Regions from separate parts of the Mus musculus genome. Here all the other regions are reported to be linked to region 2. The links are microRNA targets in miRTarBase. Many come from high-throughput screens and were not tested one by one. Region 2 holds a microRNA gene; each other region holds the end of a gene's coding sequence.
What was found. The annotated mature microRNA mmu-miR-203-3p reads GUGAAAUGUUUAGGACCACUAG and lies in region 2 at 2,156-2,177, shown strand. An mRNA with a match to its seed (bases 2 to 7 or 8) in the 3' UTR can be bound and repressed. Matches are read on the target gene's strand: a 7mer-m8 pairs with bases 2 to 8, a 7mer-A1 pairs with bases 2 to 7 and ends in A, and an 8mer does both.

Region 1 (3,123 bases), not on the chromosome of region 2:
TATAAAAGACCCTAAAACCTCTCCAAGCCTTCTTAACACTACTGGATCTGGTTCTAATTGCTTCCTGTCCCAGGGGCCAACAACTGGGTCGAAGCAGGTAGTCCCCAGAATCAATACGTGTTCCGTTACGTAGAAAGAGAGCTGTTCACATGCTAATCTGCACCCCTTGTTCTTCCCAAGCCACGTGACACAGACCACGTCCTGGATCCACCCCGTGATGAGCGCCCTGAACCTGTCCTGTGCAGAGGAGAGTGAAGAGGACTGTCCCAGAGAGCTAACAGACCCGAAAAGCTGATGGGTTTCCATGGGAAATGGAGCAGCAGAGTCCTCTGGCTTCTCAGTCCATGTCCACAACCAGACACAAGCCACCACACCCCGAGACACAGGAATCCAGCACGTGCACCAGGCAGGGTGTCAAGTCGCAAGTGTGGTATTTTCGTGTACATGTTAAAGATCAGTTGCCACTACAGTAGTTTTTTTGGAAATAATCTAGTTGCATTTATTGAAGTCATTTATAGTCAGATTTTACATGCATAAACCTCTTTATAATTAGATCTTTATAACTCAGTATGTTAGCTCATTGTTTGGTATGAGATACAATGGTTTGTATATCAACACTTCATATTGAAAAGTTATACGAACATAGCAAACTCCTTTTTATAACTCTCCCTCCCAACCCACAGCTTAGGAAAAATGTTCTGAGAAAGCGAGGGGAGGCTGCCTCACAGCTGTCCCACTAGCTGCTGACTACAACTTGTACCAAATAGGACACCACCTAACTTATATTATTAGGAGACATCTATCATTTATAAAGTGCTTTCAAGCCGGGCAGTGGTGGTGCACGCCTTTAATCCCAGCACTTGGGAGGTAGAGGCAGGCGGATTTCTGAGTTCGAGGCCAGCCTGGCCTACAAAGTGAGTTCCAGGACAGCCAGGGCTACACAGAGAAACCCTGTCTCGAAAAAAAAAAAAAAAAAAATGCTTTCAAACCTCACCTTACTTAAACCAAACAGCATAGATTTTGAGCTGATCTACAGGGCAGTTCTACTCATGGCTTCAGCTGGAGAAACAGTGGTTCAGAGAGACAGAGCAGCCCATCCCAGGGATGAGACTCACACCTTATCTTCTGATTCCGTGTCCAGGCGCCTTTGCCCTGCTCCCTACTGTCCCCACAGAGGGAGATTGCAGCCCAGCAGAGTATCTACAGTCTGTTGATGCAGCTGGGTCCACAGCTGTGCATTCCACAGCAGTCCAGAGGACACCTCAGAGTCATGACCCACTCTCTTCCTTCTGCGGCCCCAACCCCACCACCACCACCACCACCACCACCCTTAGATACCAAGCAGGACACTGCTCTGTGACTTTTCAGTGGGCTTTGTATTTTCTAGACTAGAGACACTGGCTCATGGCCATGCTTAGGTGCCATGAGCCAGTAGGAGCATCTAAAGAGAGCTGACAGGAGAAAGGTATTTGTTTAAACACTGCTGGAGCGCTTGTAAAAGGATGGAGGCCAGGAGCCAAGCAAAGCAGCGCAGCATCACTTAGGCAAGCATAGAGCTCCCAAGAACACGGTGCAAGAACCTTCACTCAGGGCCACTTTATAAGTAAGTCACGGAGTTCCTGCAGTGGAGCAGCACCTGTGTCAGCATCAGACCCTAGCTCCTTACATTCTCTGCTGAGTTTTACCTGGTATAGGGAATGCATATGGAAAATACACATGGGCATCGTGCTCACCCATACCTCTCTGAATACATTTAAGATGTAGGGTTTAAGCTGAATGCACTTAGGATTCATGTTTTCCTTCATGAGGAAGAACATAAAGTCAAATACAGACTGACAAGGAGACTCGAACCCTAACAACGACAGAATGGCTGGAGCAAACGTATGCCTCTCCTCACAGCTGTCTGGATCTTAGGATGCTTCGAGAAGCGGGGTAGGGGTAGGTGGCTTTGAGAGCAGCTGCAGAAGGACCTGTTTCAAGTCCCAAAGAGGTGTGAACAGGCACTCACACGCTTTTATAAGACCGTCTCTGCTGTGACACCAGCACACTCCTGTTAGGAGATCATTCTCCTGCCTCGCATTGGAGAGTGTCCTCAATTGTTTGTAAGGGAAGCTGAGATGGGCTCCTGAAGCATGCAGTCTTTAATCTGTATGTGTGCATGTGTGTGTGGCACTCACAACCTCTCTGCTGCTAGTATCAAGTCCCTCCCTATTTCTACCAAATACATAATCAAAAAGATCTATAAAAACACATAGCTCTATGTACTGAGCACTCTATACCATACATTTCGGTATACAATGAACATCTTTTGGGAGGTCTTTTTGGGATAGCCACTCTCTGTGTATACCACCCTGGCCTTGAGTTCACAATCCCCCTGCCTCAACCTCCCAAGTACTGGTATTTCAGCAACAAGTACCTTCTTGAAGGTACCCAAAGTGATTCCAATTTTATGAAAAAGCTGAGGTTTAGAAAGAAGTGGTCCCAAGGATCCCACCATGCCTTTGTGTTGATGCTGGATCTGAGGCAAGTCTTAGACCCCAGGGCTTCCTTAAACCAGGGTGTAGAGCCTCCTGGATTTAGTCAGCCCTGCAGGACTCCAGCTTTCAGTCACGAAGAACTTCCCGATTTGTAAGAAAGGAATTCTCCAGGAGAAAATAGCATTCCATCAGGTTCCTGTGTAACTGAGCATCTCATGTGAATGCAGCTAAGGAGGTTGAGCCTCTGAATTAGCTGAATCAGGCGAACACTCATTGAGAACTATTCTTTAGTCCCTATGTCCTCACCCATGTGTTCCCTTGGGATGCTCAGTAGCTACCAGCGGTGTGACCAGCACTCTGGTCACCAGGGCAAAGCAGAGCTACAGCTAACCATTTCAAAATAAAAATGATCTTGAAAGTCAGAATTTGTTAACTTCTAAATTTTAAAAATAGTTTCTTTTCCTTTCAAAAACGAGATCAAAGTTCTGTAGAAATAAGTCGAGTTAGATAAATAGCCCGTCTAACTTTCTGGAAGCTGCCGTCACCAATATTTCAGTAACTATTTCCCCTCGAGGGTAAGCCTGCCACCCTTAAACAGCTCCCCCTTGAATTGGTATGTTGTGGTCATCTTTTCATGGTGATATAC
Region 2 (3,123 bases):
TGACTGAGGCTTTTCCCCAGGTCCCCATACAGGTTCTGCAGATATGAGCAACAAGGGTCAGGGGGAGGCAGCAATCGGGCAGGTAAGAGGGACTCCTACAAGGGTTGGCAGCCAGGCCGGTTCTCAGGATCCTCAAGGATGATGGGATGCAACCTCACACCAGACAGATGCCAGATGGCCTCAAAGGCACCGTCCAGAAGGCTTGGGGGGGGGGGACGCAGGTGCTGCATTAATAAGGTCCTCTGAGGGTCCCAGATAAGTTGCTTTAGGAAGCACGATACTTGGGACACTCGCATGTCCCTTTCAGGCTCCTACAAAGGGCACTGGGCCATCCTTCCATCTGCAGGAACCCTGGAATCCCCTGTTAGCACATGCAGAGGTGGTTCAGGCTGCCCTCAGACCAGACATAAGATATTGGATAAGCTGGGGAACCCTATGGCCCTCCTCACAGTGGAGGAGGGCCGGGCCCTGCCCCCAGCAGGCAAGGCTCACTGCTGTTTTGCACACTGGTAATTTCCCTCTAGGGAGGCTTCAGCTCCTCTGAACGCCAGGGCTATCTCTAGGGAACATCTCCCTTTTGTCACGCCCTCTGGTTCCCAGCGCCCTCTATTCTATAATCAGACTCCCCAGTTGAGCCCTCCAGGCCACCCCCACCCATCTCCTCATACACAAGTAATCTCTTGCAAGGTTACCCTTCTGGTTGTCATATTTCAGGTTGCAAGAGAGCCAGAGTTTTCACCTGCCTCTCAAAAGTCCCCTCTGAGGCATAGTGCCCACATTTGCTATGGGAAAGGAGCCCACTCAGGCTAGACTGGGTACAAAGGGGTTTGCTTGTTTGTTTGTTTCTTGTCTTGCCGTTGAGGGTTTCTCACGGAGATAGGAGACAACTTCCAGACTAAGTGTGTGCCTGGTGAGTAAGACTCCAGCAATGCCTCTTTGTGGACATTCCCTAGTTCTCCATGCCAGCCCCTCTGACTCCACATTCAATCAGACTTGCACACTGCCAAGGGCTGTGGAACCTCTGAGAAGGCATGGCTTCTCTCTGAGGCCGAAGACCCAACTGCAAAACAAACAAACAAACAAAACCAAACACATTAACACACACACACACACACACACACACACACACACACACACACACACACACACACACACAAAACCCTACACTGTTCACCCTACAAGGCGAATGCAAAAGTTAAACTTGACAGCGCCATCAGTGAAAGGTCTAGAGGCTTCCTCCTGCTGCCTTGGCCCAGTCTGTGGCACCCCGGAAAAGAAGACACTGGTGTTCCTTGGGCCAGCTGGCCAGAACTTGAATGCATTATGACAGCCTTCTGGTCCTCAGGGGCTCAAGTTTGATTCCAATCGCTCTCCTTTTCCTTTAACACTGTCCTTACTGCACTGGAAGGGAACCCTTAAGGGCTCGGTGACTAAGAGGGCAGGGCGCCTGCAGGTGCGGAGCAGACAGGGCCCTTTGGACTGCGGGCAAGGTCCCTGGTACATGGCACAAGGACCCAGGACCCAGGACTGGGCTCGCCCCGCCCCCTCCGAGCGCCGAGAGGCCCAGGTCTGGGAAGCAGAAACTCGCCGCAGCCCCCCCACCCAGTTTCACTTTCTCTTTGTTCCCTCCTTCCCCTCCCACGGAGTTCTCTTTGAAGAGAGTCCGCGGTGCGGGCGTGTCCGTTCCCGCCCCCGCGCCGCCCGTGGGGCTCGGTGCGTGCCCCGCCGGCGTGGCCCCTTGGCGAGCATTGCAAAGCCGGCTCTCGGGCTTCCAGCGGGCGCGGCCCCTGCGTCGACCCCGGCCAGGTGCGCCAAGCTGGGCGCCGGGTGCGGCCGGTGACTCAGGGCCACCCCCGCGCGAGCACGCGGAGCAGCTCCCGGGGCCTCGGGCCGACCCGCCGCGCGACCCGCGGGCCTGGAAAAACCGGTCAGGCCAGCGCGGCTGGCGCGTTCCGGCGCCGAGCGGGGCGACCTAGACGCATAAAAGGCGCAGGCACGCCGGCTGCCGCCGCACAGAGTGCAGCCCGGCCACGCGGGCCGGGTCGCAGGAGGGCGCTGAGCTGTGGCTCCGGAGCTCCGGGCTGTGCAGAACTTCTGTGTGCAGGCGCGCCTGGTCCAGTGGTTCTTGACAGTTCAACAGTTCTGTAGCACAATTGTGAAATGTTTAGGACCACTAGACCCGGCGCGCACGGCGGCGACGACAGCAGCGACGGGGCGGCCCCGACGGCCAAGGTCGGCTTGAGAGGGGCGCGGGGGTGGGGTGGGGGCACCCGGATCGCCGAGACTCGTGCAGTCCCGCAGCCTGGCAGGAGTGCAGAGCGACGACCCGGGACGCACGCTGGCCCTGGACCTGCACAGCAGCCTGCACTTTCGCCCACACTGCTGACACGTGCGCCTCACCTTCATTCTCTCCTGATCCACCCTTGTCCAAAGCCACCGAACCTCTGGCAGGAGCCGGCCGCCTGACCTCTGGGTCAAGGGGCATTCTTTGCTCCAGCGTGAGAGTGGCCACTGGGGCTGAGGCTGCCGAGCCCTTGGTAGTCATCTTGTTGAGCTGAGAATTCTTCTGCGGGAGCTCTCCCTTTTCCAGGCTGGGGTAGTGATCCTGTGAGTGTGTGCTGTATGAATGGACAGCTTCTAGGGCCAGACACGGGCTGGAAGAGTGGTAGTGGGGACAGGCCCAGTCCTGATGCAGAGTTGAGCCAGGGTGATCTTTTGGGGCCTCAGGCTCAGCTGTTGGATGAGTGCACCCATGGGAGAGGTCTGAGTGAAACTGTAAGTGGCTCTGAGCAAAGTCTGCTTGACTTGGCATTTCCACCTCCAGGTGGTCAGGCCCTGTCAGATGGGGTTGTGTGGAAAGAAATGGATGCCTGGACCCTTAAACCGACAACATAGCAACATCGGGAAAGAGGGCCTCCTCCTATCCCAGCTTCCTTGGCCCAAATATGGGAGCCACTGGACAGCCTAGACTGAATTTGAGGCGGGTCAGAGCATTTCCCACTGGATGAGTCCCTGTGTCCTGATGGCACGTTGGAGAGGTACCCATCCTTTGCATGTGTGCATGCCAGGCAAGTACAGGAGACGGCCAGAGGTGGGAGGGAATGGTGTCCCATGGGGCGCCCC
Region 3 (3,123 bases), not on the chromosome of region 2:
GTCAGCCCCGGCCTCCCAAGTGATGGGATAAAGACATTCATCACCACACCCTTATAAACTTTTAAAACACTTTTTGTGGTGTAGTAGTTGTGTGCATATGCCACACACGGTCTGTGGGGCTCAGCAGATTTCCTACCTTGTGAGTCCAACGTCTGGAACTCAGGTCAGGCCTGGCAGGAGCCCTCTACCTACCTGCTGGTCCCCTGCCCATCAGTCTTTACCAGTCCCCTGCCCCCAACTAACTCATTTCACTTTATTATTCTAAGCTGTGTATAGATGCTTATGTCCACACAAGACAGGTGAGTCCAGGTGTTGTATTCTCTGGTGTGACATACAGCTGTGAACCATGCGCTATGAATGCTGGGATGGAACCCGGGTCCTCTTCTGCCAAGCCCTCTTCAGCCACTTCCATATGAACCATCTATTTTATGTGTGCACTCATAAAACAACACACCAGCTGTTTCCATTATGTGGACTCGGGTACCAACTCAAGTCCTCAGCACCCCCTCAGTGAGCCATCTATCCACCAGTCCCTTCTGTGTTCTAAGAATTTTTTGTTTTTTTTCTGTATAGCCCTGGCAGAATTCACATTGTAGATCAGGCTGGCCTCGAACTCAGAAATTAGCCTGCCTCTGTCTCCCAAGTCGGTCTCTGGGATTAAAGCATGTGCCACCACTGCCTGGCCCAAGATGTTTTTATTCTGTTCCACAAGTCCCTGAGTGGGTGTGTGCACCTGAGTACAGGTATCCAGGCGCCATCTCCCCTGGAGCTCAAGTGTTAGAGGTTCCAAGCCACTTGGCTTGAGTGCTGGGAACTGAGTCCCCTGGAAGATCAGCAGGAGCTTTTAAACCACTGAGCCACCTGTCTGCGCATGGGTGTGCTGGCTAGTTTTTACTTCACGTCAACTTGACAGCATCAAGGGTCACCTGCGAGAAAAACCTCAATTGAGAAAATGCTCCCATAAGATCAGGCTGCAGGCAAGCCAGTTATACATTTTCTGATTGCTGTAGGAGGCTCAGCCTGCGTGCTGTGTGGTGCCACCCTGGGCTCAGAGGCAGGCTGATTTCTGAGTTCGAGGCCAGCCTGGTCTACAATGTCAAACCCTACTGTTAACATAGCTGCTCTCTACAACTCGCACCTGCTGGTGTGCAGACGTCGCACACTGAGCTACACCCCGTCCCTTGGTGCACTTTGCTTTCTTCCTCACAAACGCTGTTGAGGGTCTTTTACTGTCTATTGTGATGTTCAGTGTGGCCCCCAAGCTAATACCCACTGGTGAATGAAGATGCCTACAGGACCATATACACTCTCTTGACTCTTGGCATGACCCATGGCAACTTCTCCCTCCTCCTCTCCCACCCCCCCCCCAAGCCTGTGAAACATGAGTTTCTTCTGTTCTGTGTGCATGGCCCTGGGGGCTGGCCAATTGGAGTTAAGAACATTCCAGATGAAACATAGTAATAACTCGGGGTTATTGGTAGGAAAGTAGATTCTCACAGCACAGAAGGTAGGCAGCTGCCCAGCTTTTGTGCTGCTTAAGGTTCAATAAAAATGTAAAGGCTGTGTGTTTTGTATGCTGGAACTCAGCAACCCAGGCCTAAACAGCAAACCAACAGGTCAGAGTCACACTTGAACTTCATATTCCCAGGGAAGAGTCTAGAAGCTCACAGGACAGGGCAGACGTTGGCAAGGATGGATGGGCAAGCCAACAACACCCCCAAAGAAGTGACTTTCCTCGTCAGGAAGCTGTCCCTTTGGGTCCCAGCAGATCCCCTACTCTGGCCAACCAGTCCTTGGCAGCAGTGCAGCAAGCTGCTGGCGGGCAGTGGGTGGAACCACAGAGAGCTACAAGCAGGGCGCAAGGACACAGTCGCCCTTCCTGCAATCAGTGGTAGCCATGGTGACAGCAGGAGCTCGGGCTTGTGAAACACTGAAGAATAGTCGGCACACCGCCAATTGTCAACCATCTTTTATTAGCCTGGTCAGGCAGGCCACGGCTCTAACCAGCTGGACTCACGGAATCCAGCTTGTAAACTCAGTGAAGATTGTCTTTCAGAAAAGCATGAAAAAGAAATTACTGTACCTGCCTACCTTGTAAAAAAAAATAACGTTCTCCAGTGTTGCAGAAAGACAACTTGTGTGAACTCAGCCCCTAAGAAACAGCACCTTGGAGTTAGATCCCCAGCACCACACACACCAAGCGCGGCAGTCTGCTGTCTGCAGAGAGGAGGAAACAACTCCACCGCCACCAGGAAACCCACCCACCCTCACTTAAAAACAAATCTATCCCATTCCTGCTTCGCTCAACTTCGGAGCCTGCAAAGGCAAAGGCAAGACGCAGGGTGGAGAGCGGCCACTGTGAACCCAGGGAGAACCCCGCCCCCTTTGTGATCAGGAAGCTCATTCAGTTGTAAGCCAGACTTCTCAGGACTCACCAACACCCAAGGGTTCCTTTCCAGACAAAAGGGCCTTTTGAAGCACACACACACACACACACACACACACACACACACACACACACACACACTTTGAAATCTCTAACTCTAAAGGATAAAGCGGACAGCAGCAGGCACCAAACTGCTGGTCCAAAGGTGCAGATCTTTCCTCCCACCCCAGAGCAGCACACGGGACCGAGGGTGTGTCCGCTGGTCTGAGAAGTAGGTGTGTCTCAACAGCCACCTGGCCGGGCCTGGAGAGTTCAAACCTAGTGCCAGGCAAGAGGTTCTGCCTGCCAGAGCTGCAGTTTCTGTGTCCTGGTTGGCTCATGATGGTCCTATAGAGATCTATCCGTGTCATTTCTCCACTCACACAAGGAACTTAGAACTTAACCAGCAAAAGCTGCGGCGGCAGCTGAAAGCACCGCTGTGGACAGATGCGGCCTGTGGGCGGGTGGGCGGGTCACAGCTCCTTCCAGTTGATGGGCTTCTTGCCAGACTTCTGGAGCAGTTCATTGGCTTTAGAAAAATGTCTGCATCCCAGGAACCCTCTGTGCACCGACAGCGGGGAGGGGTGAGCTGTCTGCAGGACATGGTGACGCTTCTGTAAAAGGTCAGAGTGTAAAGCGGTCACCACACCTCCAGCCAGCCCTGAACTCCCCGCCCCGCCCACCTAAGGTGTGTGTAT
Region 4 (3,123 bases), not on the chromosome of region 2:
ATGGAAATTAAAAGTACTTTGAGACCTAATTTGCATAAGGCGTTCATAAAGGGCTCAAGTCCTCCGGGTCCCTGGTTGATTTTCTACTTACTAGACTGTTTTCCACTGTTTGCTTTTAATCATGCCTGAACTGGCCAAATCTGCCCCGGCTCCCAAGAAGGGTTCCAAGAAGGCTGTCACCAAGGCGCAAAAGAAAGATGGCAAGAAGCGCAAGCGCAGCCGCAAGGAGAGCTACTCCATCTATGTGTACAAAGTGCTGAAGCAGGTGCACCCGGACACCGGCATCTCGTCCAAGGCCATGGGCATCATGAACTCGTTTGTCAATGACATCTTTGAGCGCATAGCAAACGAGGCTTCTCGCCTGGCGCATTACAACAAGCGGTCTACAATCACATCGCGGGAGATCCAGACGTCGGTGCGCCTTCTACTGCCCGGAGAACTGGCCAAGCACGCCGTGTCGGAGGGCACCAAGGCCGTCACCAAGTACACCAGCGCCAAGTAGAGGCCTCCCTGGATGAGGCGCTCGCTGGCCCCTTTGATCTTTTAAAGTCTCTTTTAGTGAGTCACCCGCTCAAATCAGAAGAGAGCTTTGCCACTTGCATTAGTTTCTAGTTCCTATTCCAAAGTTACTCCAAGGGTCTTGAAAAGGGTACACTTCAGAAGTTTTAAGCCTTTGTGGTTTTGAGTTCCCCTGTGGGTATCTGTTTGCAGTTTGCTGCACCCTACTTAGCTTCTTGGAGTTCTTTTTAGACTAGGATAATGGAGGTGGGTCTCTGGGCCCGGTTTCCGTGTTCTAGGCTTTTGGGGTACCATTTACTTGTCGACTTAAAGTGAGATGGTTTCCTTACCCTGGCGAATAGAGGGCTCCAGGACACAGCTAAGACTGTGTCGGCGAATGCTGGGTACCAGCCATCTACAACTGAAACCGCTCTGTCCCTTTACTTGTGTCCTGGGCACCAGCGGTTACGGGGTACTTAGGGTGGTGTCCCTCTAATTTACTGATTTACAAACACGAATGTTCCACGTTGCTGCCGATTTGGTAGAAGTCGGTTATGGTTCTCTATCAGGCTTTAAAATCCCTGTTCGAGGCTTGCTTGGTTTGTTTTGTTCTGTTTTTGTTTTTCCTTTTAATTCTTTGCTTTAACCTCTGCAGTGCCAGATTACCGCAGGCTACTGCTGCTTCTCTGGGCTCATGAAGCGATCTTTCGAATCCACACACGCAGGAATTAGCTTTTTCCCTCCTGTCGTGTCTCCAGGAGAAGTTGTCTCAAGTTCCCTTTGCTTTCTTATTTACACTGTTGCTGATCAAGCTGGGTCTGACAGTTTTATACCTCCAGAGCCCACCAGTGCCTCAACCACAGCAGATGCTACTTTTAAAATTACTTATTGAATTCATTTTTATACCACTGCTTTTTTTAAAATATATTTTTATTAGGTATTTTCATTTACATTTCAAAAGCTATCCCAAAGTCCCCCTTACCCTCCCCACAACACTCCCCTACCCACCCATTCTTGGCCCTGGTGTTCCCTTGTACTGAGGCATATAAAGTTTGCAAGACCAAGGGGCCTATATCACTGCTTTTTAAAATTACTTATTGAATTAATTTTTATATTAAGGCGGGGGTGGCAGAGGCCTTGTCCATTTGATGTATGTGAAGACACGTTGGAAAGGAAATGTTTTGGGGATTTTTTTCCCAAATTTGTCTTTAGTTATCGTTACTGTGGTAGCTGTTCTTGGTTCTTAGCCCAAGCAGCTGGGTGCACCTGTGAGGGATTTATTTTTTCTTAGTTCCATAATTTGAAATGAGAAGAACCATTTTTAATCTGGTTCTTTCCCACCTTTAATCTGGGCCACGCCAGCTGGCAGCTTCTATTAAGGACATGGAAGAAGGAAGCTTGTTCTTTGCCTGCTTGCTGGAGATGGCAAGTCTGTTCCTGAACTGGCATTAGAGCCCTACTTACTTGGGATTCTGCCATACACTGAAGACCGGCTGAGACACCCAGCCTTGTGGACTGAACAACTACTGGATTATTGGACCTTCCGTTGGGTGACAGCCATTGAACCCCAGCCATTGAACTCCAGTAAGCCATGTGTTTGTGTTCGAGTGTGTGTGTGTGTTTACTAGGGACTGGCCGTAATAGTTCCCTTAATTTTGACAATTTAGAGGAAGCTCTTGGGTTTGTATTAAATGGAGCATTGGCCTTTGGGAGAGAGACATTTTACTGCCACCATCCCCATTCTTAATTTTTCTATCCTCTACTAAGATGAACTTCCAATTTACAATTGTCCCAATCATTTACATTTCAGAGGGTCTACAGGATAGGTAGGTTATGGAGCGAATAGTGAAGGTAGTAGAAGCTAAATAGGGAGGTCCGTAGGCCAACCCCTGCACCAATACCATCCACTCTTGTCTCCTACCTGAAGACAACGGCCTTGGTTTTCTTTTGTGGGGAGTGTAGCATACTGAGTTTTTCCTTTGAAGTCTTGATTTTGTTGGTGAAGATTCTTGATGGTCTGATTGCTTTCTCAATTCTGCTTTGTGGTAAGGGTTATTGGAGCTGATTGCAGGAGCTTTGTGGATCCAAAAGAGAGTTCCAAACATTGTCATAGATCGAATAAATCCATTCACTGCATGTGCATTTTCAAGTGGGTAGACACTGTTATTATTATTAATAAAGTTACCGATTAGTTTCAAATCTTTGCTGTATTGTTTTCTGTGCAATTAATTTTCTCAAAAAAAAAATAAAATGAGTAGATATAGCCATTTGTGGTTGGGCTTGTGGAAAAGCTGGGTGCCTTTGATTTGAAGGATTTATAAGCCATTAGTCAGAGCTTAGGGGTGTAGCTCGGAAGGTTTGGCCAGAACGCCCTGAGGCCTTAGGTTCAACCCCCAGTACATTAAAGCACACACCTGCTTCTAGCTGGGCATTACTTCAGAGGTGCATTGGGGTTAGAATATCTACGGCATGGCCATTGTTAATGCCTCGAGATTGAGAAATAATGACCACAAATAAAAAGTATTACAAACAAGAGAGCGTGAAATAGAATCCCTGGTAGTTTAGCCAACACCTGTGCTAGGGAGTGTTCTAAGCCCTCTCAAAATATTGGCTCATTTGATCTTC
Region 5 (3,123 bases), not on the chromosome of region 2:
GAGAGTAGAGATATAGCCTTAGGATGATAGTCCAGGAATGCAAAACCAAAGCACTACAGATCTCTGAGGACGGACCTGTGTACTTCCTTATGTAGTGGATATGTATCATGGATACCTGGTTGGTGGAGAGCTGGTGTTAGCCCGTGCTTTAGGGACTGAGCCTGTCCCACCCTAGGGCCCCACGTGGTCCTAATACCACACCCTTTGGCCTTCAGGTGTCCAACAGAAGCGACTGATTCCTATTAAATACAAGGCGATGAAGAAGGACTTTCCCAGTATCCTGCGGTTCATCACTATATGCGACTATACCAACCCTTGCACCAAGTCCTGGTTCTGGACCCGCCTTGCCAAGGCTTTGTCCCTGCCCTGAAGATGACCCTGGGAGCCCTAGGTATGTCAGTCTGTCTGTGTTCTTCCGCTTGCCTCCTTTGACACTGTAGTGGGGAGCTTGTGGTCCGTCTATCCCTAGACATCTACAGTAGCCAGATGTCATCTCTCAAGTCCTTACGGAACCAGTGACTGCAAGTGACATTATGACTTGCCGGGTTGCCAGCCAGGACAGTGTTTATCAGGGCTGCATGAGTCTAAGCGAAGGACTAGTTGAGCTACATCTCAGACATCTTTGGCCTCAGGGTCTCCTCCTGAGAAACAGGATATGGAGATCAGGCAGGGAAATAGTGAGGCACTCTTCTGGCTATCCTAGGAGACCCAGTGTGGGCTGAAGGGGAGCTGAAGGAGCACACACTGGCTGTTAAGGAGCACCACAGGCTTGCCAGGACAGCTGCTTTGACCTGCCAACCTTAAACTCCCTTTCTTCCTCCCACAGGGCAGAGGGGAAGATGAGACTGATGCGGAGCCAGATTCTCTGATGCCGTCCTGTCTACATCTTTGACTCCCCTGGGCTCAACCCGTGTTCAATGATGACTGGCCTGAGCAACTAGGACTGCCTTTCCTCCCAGCCACCCATGCCTGTGCACGCACCTCAGTACACACATGCCTCCTCGCACACACAGGCATCTGCATATGTGTGTTTCCTTTGGGACAGCTCCCAAGGATAGCTGAGTGGAAGAGTTCTATCATCAAGGGGGCCTGGCCATCTCCCTGGACAAAAGTGGGGTGCCTTTGCTACAGGTAGTGGCACGGGCCTATAGTTTCAGCATTTGGGAGGTAGAGGCAGGAGAATCAGGAGTTCAAGCTTATCCTTGGCAACACACCTAGTTTAAGGTCAGCCTGGGCTACATGAGAGCCTACCTCCCCCATCCCCTACCCCCAGAAAAGAAGGAAAATCTGGGGGCACTGTGGATTTCTCCTCTCTTTTCTCTACCTGTTGAAAGCAAAGTCTAGGAAGGCCCCAAACATGATAGCATTTGGGCCCTTAGTAAGCTGAAGATAAAAAGGAGAAGCTGTTTGGCTTCGCCCCACAAAGCAGCTGCAGGCTCAGCTGTTTTCTCCCCAGCAGCGAGGTTTGCATCTTCTTATTCCTTTCACGTTCTCTACCATAGAGGCAATGTCATGGTCCCTCTCAGGGTACACCCCAGGGCCCTGAGTCCCCAAGAAAGTGAGTCTCCCCTCAGTGTCTGGGGGAGGAATGAGGCCTCTGTGCACGGTCTCATGGGGCATTTCACTGCTTGATGTTGAGCATTTTAAAGCAACCTGGGTCAAGTGTAAACCTCCTCCACCTGTGTTAGAGGTTTCATGGGAATGTCAATAAAGAAAAGAAGGGCTCGTGTTTGTACTTTGTACTTCTGTGTGTGAATTTATAATAAAAAGTATTCTATTTTGAGAAAGTGTACTTGTGACTGACGGTATGTGTGTTAAGGTGTTTGGAAGCAGAGAGGTAGGCTATGAGTTTCTAGTATAAGAGAAAGTGCTCTATAATGTGGTGCCCCCTAGGGCTTCTAGATGGCTGAGCCTTGGGCTTCCAGATGGCTGAGTCTTGGCCTCACGGGCTTGGGCTTCAGCGGGGACCAGATGGAGCTAAAGGTATCGTCATCAGCTCCAGAAACCTGCTCCTACCCAGCAGCCTGAGTCTTTTTTAGCTTAAACTATGTCCTGGCCCTGGTATGTAGTCTCAGGGATTGAACCCAGGATCCATGTTAGGCAAAGTATGTCTTCTGAGCTGCATTCTCAGACTACCATCTGTCCCTTGATTATGGAGTCACACCAGCCATTGGATGACCAAGTGCTATCTATACACACAATGCTGATGCTACATTTGTAGTCTTCAGATTGAAGGAGATTGTGTGAGGAGTGTAAGAACTCGGATCACCTTTCCAACTTCCTCGGGATCTGTAATTATCTCAAGGAAGAGAGTTTTTAAGCCAGGTAAGGTAGTGTGCCTGTGGTTCTACCTACCTGTGAGACTGAGGCAGGAGGACTGTTTGAGCCCTACAGTTTAGGAAACAGGGAATTCTGCCAAAAAAAAAAAAGTTTTAAAAATTGTTTTGTTTTGTTTTGTTTTTGAGGTAAGGTCTCTACTATGTAAGTCTGGCTGTCCCAGAACTTTCTATGTAGAGCAGATTGGCTTTAAACTCACAGAGCTCTGCCTACCTCTGCCTCCTGAGTGTTGGAATTAAAGATGTATGTGTCACCACACGCAGTACTTTAATTTTTAAAGGAACACTTCTTGTTTCTGCATCTCTGAAAGTTCATGTATTTCCAACCACCCCTGCATTTCAGAAACTTGCTTTTTTGAGGATCTGTTTGTTCCCTGGGGCCAGGCCAAGGCAGAATATAGAAACTAATCATGCTCTGATCTAAAGGAAACTAGACAGCAGTAGAAGAAGCAAGATACAAATGCAGAAAGTCAGAACCACCCAGGAACCAGGCAGTGGAGCCTTGGGCAGCAGGTATGCTGGCTGGACCAAAGGCACGCATCCTCCATGTCCTGAAGATGGGGCTCTGAGAGGTGGTGAAGGAGACAAGGTAAACCCTATGCTGGGAGACATACTAAAGGAAAAGATCTGATCGAGAGGCATGCCTAGGATGGAGACTAGAACAGTCAGATGAGACCTGTGGGGCTCAGGGGAGATGACCGCAGCCATAGCGTGCAGGCTGCAGCGGGGCCCTGGCTTCCATGTGGGCAGCAGGGAGTGCTAGACTGAACTATGTTGGGAGGAGCAG
Region 6 (3,000 bases), not on the chromosome of region 2:
GTCACCTCAATTGAGCTGGGCGTTCTGGGCTTAATGACGTTGTGGAATGTCGACATGGATTGCATTTCTATCTTGTGCCTTATCTACACTTTAAATTTTGCCATTGACCACTGTGCACCACTGCTTTATACATTTGTATTAGCAACTGAGCACACCAGAACACAGTGTATAAAAAGCTCCCTGCAAGAGCATGGGACAGCCATTTTGCAAAACATTACTTCTTTTCTTATTGGGTTGCTCCCCCTCCTCTTTGTGCCTTCAAACCTGACCTTCACACTGTTCAAATGCTTGCTGCTGACCGGGGGTTGCACGCTTCTGCACTGTTTTGTTATCTTACCTGTGTTCCTAACCTTTTTTCCTCCTTCCAAAAAGCACCACAAGAAAAAGAAACGGGCCAAACGAAAGGAGAGAGAGGAAATTGAATGCATAGAAATCCAAGAGAACCCTGATCACGTCACCACAGTCTGAGGGTGGAGACTTTTTCTTTTCCAGTATTGCACAATGATGCAGGGCTAGTAAGGCTCAGACCTCAGCTGCTTGGGCTGGCCAGGGGTAAAAAGGCAGGTCAGATCAAGAGTGCATTTTTCATGACGCATCCAAGGGTCTGCTTCTTTTGATGGAAGAGATAATAAAAGGAGGTGAAGTTCTTTACAACCTTGTGCTCCATGAGAGATAATTCTCCAGACATTGATCTTAGAGCTTTTCTGAGAAATGGATGGATTGGTGTGGTCAGATGGAAGGCCGAAAGATCTAAAGATTCTTAGAAGAAATGGAGAAGAGAGAATAGGTGGTCTCCAGATAGGGGAAAGTACAAAAAGAAATGTCTAATTTGTCATGTCACTTCATGTTTTCATGAACAGATCAATCAAAGGAAACCTATGCACATGGGAAGTACACATTTAATCCTGTATAAACCAAAGGACCGGACCTCCCAATCCACTTTGTGTGTACATATAAGTATACATATACATAATATGTCTTGAGTGTGTGTTGGTGGTTGGATGAAAGAAGATGTTCATTTGCAGATAGGCTGGCCTTTCTCAAAAAGTCAAATCAACATTAGTCAAATATATAACCTCATTAGGGATGATACAAAATATATAATTGGTCACTTGAAATCAACTCAACTGTCTAAATAGCAAGAGAATTATCAACTGTGTGATAACAAGATAGACAGAAATTTGAATCCATTAAATTCTACCTATCATGTTGTTGGTCACTGAGATCCTACGTTTGGGATGACTTCACCAAAACTCCAAAAGGTATTTGAGTTAATTAGCATGTGAACAAACGTTTAGAATCTAAAGTAGTTGAGATAGCTTGTCATTAGCTTTTAACATTTCTGTGTATTTGGAAGGCCAGCATGGCTACTTTTGGATATCTCATCCACCTGAAAAAAATGAGCCCTTTAAGCACATTGTTTTTGCATGCATATGTAAGGGTACACAGTGTAAGTGAGAGATGGAAAGAAATGATGAGATACCATTTCGTAGTTAAGAGCTCTTAAGTTAAATGGTGAAAATACACTGTTGTGGCACAGGTGGCAATTAACACAGGAAAAAGAAAATGTCTGGAAAATGTAGCGAGTAAAATGAGCCATCTACCATTCACCATCTCGGCATCAAACAGCCTGTTGTTTAAGAAAAACTTGCCAACTCTACAGACTCTAATGTGTTCCTTGGAATAAGTCTGGGAGCATTAACCAAGACCATGATCACTATGATGGTGGTCACCATAACCCCTGCAGCATCATTTTGTAGCTTCTTGGAGTATCATTGTCTTCATTAACTAGAAAGTAATCTCCTATGGCAAGCACAGCTCTCTACTGGTGCCATATTAACTGTGTGTAATTGCACCTGGAGTCCTTACATTAAAAAAAGAAAGAAAGAAAGAAAAAGTATTGAGGTAAATGTTTTGGGTTTTTTTGGTTTTGTTTGTTTGTTCGTTTGTTTGTTTGAGTTAGTGTTGAAAACTATGCCCCAGGCAAGTACTCAGTCTGCTGGGTGCGTTCAAGGACTAAGGCTGCTATTCATGTTGGAGAACCTTACTAGAAAATTCCTTTTCCATGCCAAATAAGGAACCTAAGGGATGATTCATTTCTGGGTAAAATAAAACAAATGCCTAATGATTACACATCCTGCTAAGAAGCTCTTTTTCCTGAGGAACATTTACATTTCCTACCAATTTGGGTTGTAGAATTTAAATGCATTAACAATACTATTGGCTTTAAAAAACAAAACACAACTAAAACTCTTAGAAAATTCCATTCCTTTTAAGTTTTAGGAAATAATGCTGATAGACAGTACTGCTCTTCTAAATGATGCAAATTTTTAAATGGACATCATTTAAATGAAACTTCAGTTTATTGAATGACATTTGTTCTATTCTACTTTAAAACTGCTGTGTTTCAATGTCTCCCCTGATGTGGATACAATAGCTATAGAATTAAGGAGGGACCATAACTTCCCATAACCGCACTTGATATTTTCACTGTATCTGTAAAGCCATGTCACAGGTAACGCCAGCCTTTCATTGCAAGAACTTTTGTCCTAGGGGGAACAGACATTTGGACAGTTGACCTCCAGGCCATGATCTCATATTTGAAGTCGAATTTTCTAAGCAGTTTTTGCAGTTGGAGAACAGAATTCCTCTTTCAAAGTTACTCATCGTTTATGAAAATTTCTATCACTCCCACCTGCTTGTAAAGACAGCCACTAAGAAGCTGAGGATTCCATATCACTTCATATCTGTCCATATTCAGTGAAACTCCATTGTTTCACCAATTGTTTATTTAAAGATAACTTACTTGTGTTTTATAATTGCCATACCATTTCAGATACAAAAAAAAAAAAAAAAAAAACCCAACAACAACAAAAAGATTGACAAGCTAATTGGCAAGCTTGCAAACTGCCAAATACATGGAAGTACCGCTGCATATTATGCCAAAGCACCAGTTTCAGTCTCTCTCAAAGCACTTGGATGGGGAAAGACTTGTTTATA

Region 1: miRTarBase lists Stxbp4 as a target of mmu-miR-203-3p. Seed matches in the 3' UTR shown: 8mer at 2,869-2,876.
Region 3: miRTarBase lists Ung as a target of mmu-miR-203-3p. Seed matches in the 3' UTR shown: 7mer-A1 at 2,529-2,535.
Region 4: the mRNA of H2bc21 is a reported target of mmu-miR-203-3p. Seed matches in the 3' UTR shown: 8mer at 1,449-1,456 and 7mer-m8 at 2,301-2,307.
Region 5: the mRNA of Myd88 is a reported target of mmu-miR-203-3p. Seed matches in the 3' UTR shown: 7mer-m8 at 1,618-1,624.
Region 6: the mRNA of Ptchd4 is a reported target of mmu-miR-203-3p. Seed matches in the 3' UTR shown: 7mer-m8 at 2,829-2,835.

Annotation. Positions count from the first base shown.
Region 1 is chr11:90,477,772-90,480,894 of GRCm38, reverse strand. It overlaps Stxbp4 (syntaxin binding protein 4), which reads left to right. Exons shown (of 18, transcript NM_011505.2): 18 at 181-3,123. The coding sequence ends at 295. Among named protein-coding and RNA genes, the nearest start is that of Gm34850, 6.5 kb to the right of the region's middle.
Region 2 is chr12:112,128,772-112,131,894 of GRCm38, forward strand. It overlaps Mir203 (microRNA 203), which reads left to right and starts at 2,109; the gene lies at 2,109-2,184. Gm51289 (predicted gene, 51289) reads right to left here and starts at 2,175; the gene lies at 2,116-2,175.
Region 3 is chr5:114,138,152-114,141,274 of GRCm38, reverse strand. Ung (uracil DNA glycosylase) reads right to left here. Exons shown (of 6, transcript NM_011677.2): 6 at 1,954-3,039. The coding sequence ends at 2,899. Among named protein-coding and RNA genes, the nearest start is that of Ung, 8.6 kb to the right of the region's middle.
Region 4 is chr3:96,221,045-96,224,167 of GRCm38, forward strand. H2bc21 (H2B clustered histone 21) reads left to right here and starts at 28. Exons shown (of 1, transcript NM_178214.4): 1 at 28-2,694. The coding sequence starts at 122. The coding sequence ends at 502.
Region 5 is chr9:119,334,603-119,337,725 of GRCm38, reverse strand. It overlaps Myd88 (myeloid differentiation primary response gene 88), which reads left to right. Exons shown (of 6, transcript NM_010851.3): 5 at 216-391; 6 at 827-1,792. The coding sequence ends at 370. Among named protein-coding and RNA genes, the nearest start is that of Myd88, 3.9 kb to the left of the region's middle.
Region 6 is chr17:42,503,448-42,506,447 of GRCm38, forward strand. Ptchd4 (patched domain containing 4) reads left to right here. Exons shown (of 3, transcript NM_001355270.1): 3 at 1-3,000. The coding sequence ends at 468. Among named protein-coding and RNA genes, the nearest start is that of Opn5, 110 kb to the right of the region's middle.